2 linked regions of the Stegostoma tigrinum genome follow. The protein of the gene in region 2 purifies or fractionates together with the protein of the main gene of each other region. This does not show direct contact. Links are inferred from orthologs where the notes say so. Each region holds a gene or a part of one and is shown on either strand. Other genes may lie near its edges.

The links.
Region 1: the proteins of stk11 (region 2) and cops4 purify together in Homo sapiens (affinity purification with mass spectrometry; 4 studies listed by BioGRID and IntAct, with this or other methods). This does not show direct contact. The link is inferred for Stegostoma tigrinum from reciprocal best matches to the Homo sapiens genes STK11 and COPS4.

The regions. Positions count from the first base shown.
Region 1 is NC_081354.1:77,491,921-77,495,841, forward strand, and holds the start of cops4 (COP9 signalosome complex subunit 4), read right to left. Parts: upstream 2,235-3,921; 5' UTR 2,184-2,234; coding exon 2,110-2,183; intron 1-2,109. UniProt on the Homo sapiens protein: Component of the COP9 signalosome complex (CSN), a complex involved in various cellular and developmental processes.
Region 2 is NC_081383.1:17,099,351-17,103,271, reverse strand, and holds the start of stk11 (serine/threonine-protein kinase STK11), read left to right. Parts: upstream 1-1,152; 5' UTR 1,153-1,250; coding exon 1,251-1,612; intron 1,613-3,921. UniProt on the Homo sapiens protein: Tumor suppressor serine/threonine-protein kinase that controls the activity of AMP-activated protein kinase (AMPK) family members, thereby playing a role in various processes such as cell metabolism, cell polarity, apoptosis and DNA damage response.

The sequences.
Region 1 (3,921 bases), on a different chromosome or scaffold from region 2:
CCCTCGACTGTGCCTACCACGTTTCCGCAACTTATCCCTCACACCCCATCCCCGTAATAACATCCAAAAAAGAATCCCCCTCGTCCTCATGTACCAACCCAACCTGCGGATCCAATGCATCATCCATCAACACTTTTGCCATCTGCAATCTGACCCCACCACCGAAGGCATTTTTCCTTCCCCACCTTTGTCTGCTTTCCGCAGGGACCACTCTCTCCATGATTCCCTTATCCGCTCCACACGCCCCTCCAACCCCACCACACCTGGCACTTTTCCCTGCAACCACAGGAAGTGCTACACCTGCCCCCACACCTCCTCCCTCACCCCCATATCAGGCCCCAAGAAGACTGTGCACATCAAGCAGATGTTCACCTACACATCTGCTAATGAGGTGTACTGCATCTGCTGTACCCGTTGTGGCCTCCTCTACATTGGGGAAACCGCTTTGCAGAACACCTACGCTCAGTTCGCAATAAACAACTGCACGTCCCAGTCACGAATCATTTCAACTACCCCTTCCATTCCTCAGACGACGTATCCATCCTGGGCATCCTGCAGTGCCACAACGATGCCACCCGGAGGTTGCAGGAACAGCAACTCACATTCCAATTGGAAACCCTGCAGCCCAATGCTATCAATGTGGATTTCACAAGCTTCAAAATCTCCCCTCCCCTCCCCTCAGTGCATCCCAAAACCAGGCCAGCTCATCCCCGCCACCCTAACTTGTTCTTCCTCTCATCTATCCCCTCCTCCCACCTCAAGCCGCACCTCCATTTCCTATCCACTAACCTCATCCCGCCCCCTTGACCTGCCCATCCTCCCCAAACTGACCTACCTCTTCCCTACTTCCCCACCTATACTCGCCTCTACAGGCTCCATCTCTGTCCTTTGAACTTGTCCGTCTCCTCGCCACCCATCTTCTCCTCTATCCACCTTTGATCCACCTCCCCCTCTCCCTCTCCCCCTCTTCTGAAGAGGAGTCTAGGCCTGAAACATCAGCTTTTGAGCTCCTAAGATGCTGCTTGGCCTACCATGTTCATCCAGCTCCACACTTTGTTATCTCAGTGTTGTATTTACCATTTTTTTTGTCCAGCTGTACTTGTACCTTTCCTTAGGACCAAAAATTTTGAATGAAAACATAAAATTGCACTCTTCGTGCATAATTAAAGAGCATACCAATCACACTCACGTCAGTGTACAGAGGCTGTGACCACGTGACAAATAGTGGTCAACAACAGCACTTGTATTTTATACCGGTAAATTCAACAGCTCAGGGATAAGTCCCATAGCCACAAGTAGCCCTCGGGTACCTTGCGTGATTGGTCATTCTTGATGTAACACTGTAGGTTTGCAGGAGATTTGACGGTACAGGGTATGACACTTTAGCACTATGAATCCTCACTGGGTACCCAACTACTGCCCTCACAACAATTGTTGTCGCATCACAGACTGCAGATCGGATCTGGCATGACCACGATCGATACAGTTTGATGTCTCTGCAGCACAGGGTGGGGAGACCCTTAAATTTGGAATCCATGAACGGAGGAAATGAAAATTTCTGTGGTCGATCATTTTAGCAATAAATGTCTAATAAGTAACAATGATTATTATATAACACAGTGTGGAGCTGGAGGAACACAGCAGACCAGGCAGCATCAGAGCAGCAGGAAAGTTGACGTTTCGGGTCGGGACCCTTCCTCAGAAATGGCCGTGTTTATCTCTGATTCCAGCATAGGCAGTTCTTACCATCTCGAAATGATTCTGAAATGGACGTTTTACTAAAAGCTGATATGAATGTGACTCCCTCAATCAAACGTAAAACAGATTTTTAAACCTCACGTAGATTGTAGCAAGAGGAGAGACAATTTTACTCATCAAGGCTGAAACAAACAACCCTATGGTGCCCCGGGACAGAGCCGAGACAGTTGGACATCAGCCTGGAGAAAGCAGGGGGCGGGGAGTCTCTCTGTCATAGGAACCGCTCCTCAGGCTGGGCTCCGGCTGAGTGTCAGCCCACAGGCGGCAAAGCTCCGACAGCTGCCGGGGGTGGGGGAAGGGGAGTCCGCCCGCCGCCTCTACACGCTCGCCCAGTCTCCCCGTTTCACTCACTTGCCGGCCAGATCCTTGTGAGAGCCACTGGAGTTCATCAACACCGCCAACTCCTGCCTCATTGCCGCCGCCATGTTTCCCCCACCCCCCAACAAGGAGCTTCAACTGGCGGCAAGAGCGTCCTACACAGTCCGTCATCGGAGCAACAGCGCCACCTGCCCGCTGGGGGTCTACTATAGTCCTCCAGAAGCAGACGCAGACGCAGAGTTCAGTGCCAGAGAGCACTTGTGAAATACACGTTTGCAATTTTTGTCCTTTCCCAAATAACAAGGTGACCGTCTTCCCAGCACTATTTGTTCAATAAAACCAGGAATGATGAACTATTCAGCAGACTGGGCAACATCCATGGAGAAAGAAACAGTTACGTTTTGAGTAAGATGTCAATTCTTTGCCATTGAAATGGGGAGCAACGACAGAAGGGAAGGTTTGGGATAAGGCAGATGAGAGTGAAAAAATGACCTGAAAGAAAAGACAATTAGGACGGTAATATTGTTGGAAAAGTCACATTTTGTCAAAAATTTTTTTGTTTTGCACTCAGCAGGACAGTTCGTAAGAATGCCAATTTAAATGTTTTTAATCAACCTGTTTGGAGATGTTATTACAGAGCCCTGAAGCAGGTGGAACTGGAACCCAGGCCTTCTGACTCAGAGGTAGGGATGCTATCACTATAAAACAAGAATACCAAATTAATAGAATAAACATACATATTATATGAGTGGAGAGTGCTGATAAATCAGCATGTAGAATCTGTTTGGCTTTGTTTAAATTTTAAATCTGGCATTAGTGCTTACTCTGGACAAAACACTTTCCCTTACTAGAACCACTCCCTTTGCCTTTTGCTCCAAGGCATTTTGTTAGTCAATTTCTCCCATCTTTGGCCCTATCCCAGACATGTTTCTACATTAACCCCTCCCACATTTCAATGCCATATAACAATCACATTCTACTGCTATCAGTTATGAATAAGTATTTTTTGACTTGACAGTTAACTCTGTTCCTACAGATGCCGTCAGACCTTTTGAGTATTTGCAGCATTTTGTTTTTTATTTCAATGTTCTAACTTTTGCTGTTGTTTCACAGTGTAATGTCTATCAGAACAGAGATAGGACTTCTACAGAGATCAAATGGACTGAAGGGCTATCATCATTAGAGGGTATCTTCCAATTTTATCAAGAAAAGTTGAGTTTGAACATGATCTCTCCTATAATTTACAATGAATAATTGTTTTCAGTTGTGCCTGAACTTTCAATTTCTATCTCAGTTAAAGAGCTGCACATAAAGGGTCAAAATTGTTTGGAAACAATGGCCTTAGTATCTTTGAATTAGAAAGGAAAAATATAAGAAAGGGTTGACATTCCTGATCATTTTCTCTCAATCCTTCCTGAAACTAGAGATGTGAATTAAGATAGAATACAGACTGACTCTACTACTTCTCCACTCACTTTTGGATACCCTGACCACAGTAATTGTCTACGATCAAAGACAAAGAAGATTCATTGTCTAAATGCTGGATGATTGCTGGAACTTACATGATTTATCCGTCAGGATAGGACAGAGCAGAGTAGAAAATGCTTGAATGCAATGAATTTGCTGAATTTAGTGATAGGTTAAAATCCATTCGGTTTAAAATACTGAAATCATTTTACAATAATCTCCACTGGATAAGGAGGAGAGAATAGAATCAGTGATCTTATCTCCACATATCCCCTTTCTTCCTTGACTTTATAGAATGTAGTAAGTGCAGTTGCTCTAATTTATCCTAGAATTTCCACTCTCTCAGACAAGAACTTAGCAGTCATGAAATAAATAGAT
Region 2 (3,921 bases):
AACAAATTCTTGGGACATGATTTTCAGCACGTATATGCTTTTTCAGGAAAGCATGCAGCCCAAAATTTTACAAAAGTTGGCAACAATTTATTTCCAGTTAAAAGTGATTTGGTTAAGCTAAATTTCAGGGACATGAAATTGATGAAAATGGCACCAGCATAGTGAGTACCGTTCAGGCTGATTGGAGCCCATCTACTCCAGGCCAGAGGTGTCGTTTTCTCGACGTACTTTTCAGGTTTTCTCTTTCTGTTTGTCCTTTCTTCCTGAAGTGGTGTCAGTAAGGGCAGCATTTGCAGGGTCGGCGGAGGGGGACTCCTCCGGGTTTGGAATACCTTACAGAGACCTTGCAGAAGCCTTGAAGACCCCAACTTGAAAGGAACACGAACTCCCATTTTAGTAATTTCTTCTTATCCTTTGTAACTCAAAATAGCACTGGATTGTGGTGATAAATCCCTTTTCACTGTATCTTCACGGTATGCGACAACAAATCGTTCATTCATTCAAAACTTCAATTCTGATTAGAAAGCACTGGTTACTTTAAATCTAAATGTAGCCACGGTGCATAAAATTGACAAATCATTACCTTTTTTAAAACTTGTGAATTGAATTTAAAACTTTGCAACAGCAAAAATTTTGTCTCACCGTCCTGTTAAGTCACCAGAAATCCGAGGGCACTAAGTTCAAAGTCTGAGAGAATGTAGCATTTAAAAATAACCCTCACACACCTCTCTCTCTCTCTCTCATAGCTATATTAAACCCCTGGATTAGGACCAGATCATCAACACACTCCTTAACGCAGGAGACTGAAGTGGACGCGAGGTGAGCTGGTGACCATTAGAAGCTCGGAATTTTAGAACAGGGGCTAGTCTGATTTGCTGCTATACCGCTGATTGATACAGATATCAACCAATGAAACGCTGCGGTTTTTCCTAGCAACCAGCCAATAGAAGCTACGAGCGCTGAGTGTGAGGCGGGCCTTTGTCGCTGGTTGTGAGGTAACAGCGATAATTGACATGATGTCGGATCAATGGAAAAGAGGAACAGCGTTTGAAGGTGGGACCTGTTTTTGCGTCGCCTGGTAACGCAGCTAACAGACATGGAGGACTACCAATAGGAGGAGGGAATAGTGCCCAGCGGGCTTTGGGGGTGTGATGACGCACAACGGCAACTCCGGAGTTGTTCAGGGGCAGGTAAACAAAATGGCGGCTGCCTAACAACTGAACTCCTTGCAGGAGGAGGGAGGAGAGGCGATGCTGCATGGAGCGGAGCAACGACAACATCAGTCAGAGGAGCCCGAGGAATCCGAGTCGATCCTGGCGCCTTTCAGAGACTATGTCGAGATGGACGAGGTCATTGACTACATCAGTGACAACGACCTCATGGGAGTGGACACTTTCATCCACAGGATAGATTCCACTGACGTGATCTACCAGCCGAGGAAGAAACGGGCCAAAATCATCGGAAAGTACCTAATGGGCGACCTCCTGGGAGAGGGTTCCTACGGCAAAGTCAAGGAGATGCTGGACTCTGAGACACTGTGCAGGAGGGCCGTGAAAATCCTCAAGAAGAAAAAGCTGAGGAGAATCCCGAACGGGGAAGCGAATGTGAAAAAGTAAGTGGATGGAAGTAGAAATATTGCACACACGATCGAGGCTCATGAAGCGCCTGTAATGCTTACTGACAGTTCACACCGAATCCCTAAAAGTGGCAGTTGGACAGGCTCTACCCCATCCCCCTCAACTCCCCCATCGCCACTTTTCACTTTTGACAACCAAACCCGTCAGTCCATCGTCGCGATTCTTGCTCCCAAAGGGACAACGAGAGGTGAACTAGTAGCCTGTCTTACTGCAGCCAACCTGCATGTTGGTTTGAAATCTTTGGATTTCTGATGATCATATCTTTTTTCAATGTAACAAAGGCGGTACTTTCGTGCTCCGTCTCTTTGAATTAAGAAAAATGAAGTTCTGGTACCAGACTTGTCAAGTTGACATATTTTTGAAACGGGGAGGAGTAAATGTTATAGTGACATCGTATTCTTGAATCTCACAGCTATAGTAATATATTGAGCTTAACATTTTGAACCGACGACATTGGTACGAGACAGCTGTTTCCATTTAAACACCCAGTTTTAGTGATCTAGGTTGGAGAAAGAGGAAGTAAAACATTTGAACGATTACGATTGCCCGTTGATTTACCATATAGTTTGTCGTCATTGCGATTTTTGCGACATATAGCAATGAGCATTATGCAGAACAATGTTTAATTTTATTTTCAACCAAAAGATAAATTTAGCCAGTTGAATGTTGCAACCGCCTAGCTCCCATTTCTTTCTGTGGTTTAAAAACTCAACCACTGAACAGCAACTTACATTGTTTTAAGTATTGTATTTGACTTAACGATGATGTGAACTGCGTGTTTAGAAATGTGAAACAGGGAAACAGTTCTCATTGAAAATGACACCTCAATTAAAATTTAAACACAATTTAAATGCTTTCTATCACTGTTCTATTGATTTTATATTCTTCCTACTAAAATCTGAGCTTTTAATTTGCCAAACAAAAATATTGGGGACATTCCTTGGCTGAGTTCCCAATTTTGATTAATACTTATACTCTGGCTTCACTTGGGGCAAGATTTAGTTGGTTTTTAAAGGGTCATCGTGTGATTGTGAATTTGGGACTCTTCTCTTTCAGCGTTGGCACAGGGCTGTCTAGTCAGGTCGGTAAGGAAGTGAGTTCTTTTGGGTTCATGACATTGAAACTAAAGAGGAAAGCATTGATGACTTTTGGGGTTTGGGGAAAGGGATGTAATTTTGAGAGAGTTGATGATTGTGACGTAGCCGATATCTGTTCAGTAATCTTAGAAATCCTCTTCACCACTTTTACAAATATTAGATAAATCTCCATACATTTGCTTCAATTATTGAGTCAAAATATGTAAAAAAGAGCACTTGTACTGTTAATACAGTCAACTCTTAAATGAGAGTCCTGCTCATTTATTATTTGTGCCGTGCCTTCTTCCAAGATAGCTAGCATCTAACTTGCTTCAGCACAGCTAAACTCACTTAGATTCTTGCTAGTCTAAATATTCAACAATATTTGTTGATTCCTATAAAGAAATCTTACCCTGATGTACAGAGCTGAAAAAACAAGTGTAGGTTTTTCACTGAACAGTCAGTCAGCTTTTTGGATAACCTTTGTAATTTTTTTCTTACTTTATGTTGGTTCATGGTGTTTAAAAAGTTAATATTAGTGATTTTGTTCAAGTGAATTTGGACTATGAAAGGTCTAAAACATTTGATCCAAATCAAGTGTGGATAATGCATCCACCCATTGTTGGTTGCTGAAGGCTTCCTGGCATTACTACTCCAGTTCTGTTTTGACAGTGCCAATATTCCATCCTCTGTAAAATTAGCTCATTCAAATCTCTGCTGCTAACTTGCACAACCTTCCTTTCACCTATTAACCATCTGCTGATGTAGATTGGCTGTAGTCTCACTAACACCTTGAATTTAAAATTCTCATTTTTGTATTCAGATCGCTCAATGGCCTTGCTTCTCATGGTTGCAGTAACCTGTACTTTTGGAAATCTCTGCTCCTCAAATTCTGATCTTGCATGTATATCTTTGATTTATGTTGTCTCATCACTCGGTACCTTTGGCTCGCCTAAGCCCTGAGTCTTGGAATTGCCTTTTTCAACCTCACTATTTCTCTCTTTTCCTTTTTAAGTACTCCATAACACAATTTATTTGATCAAGTTTTGGCCATTTGTCATAGTTTTTTTTTCTATTTATGTACCTCAGCATCAAATGTTTTTGATAACACTGCTGTGATATACTTTGGAATGTTTTACTGTGTTGCAGGTGCAGAATAAGTGCAATTTGTTTTAAGGAATTAATAACACAGCAAAAAAATAGGAGCA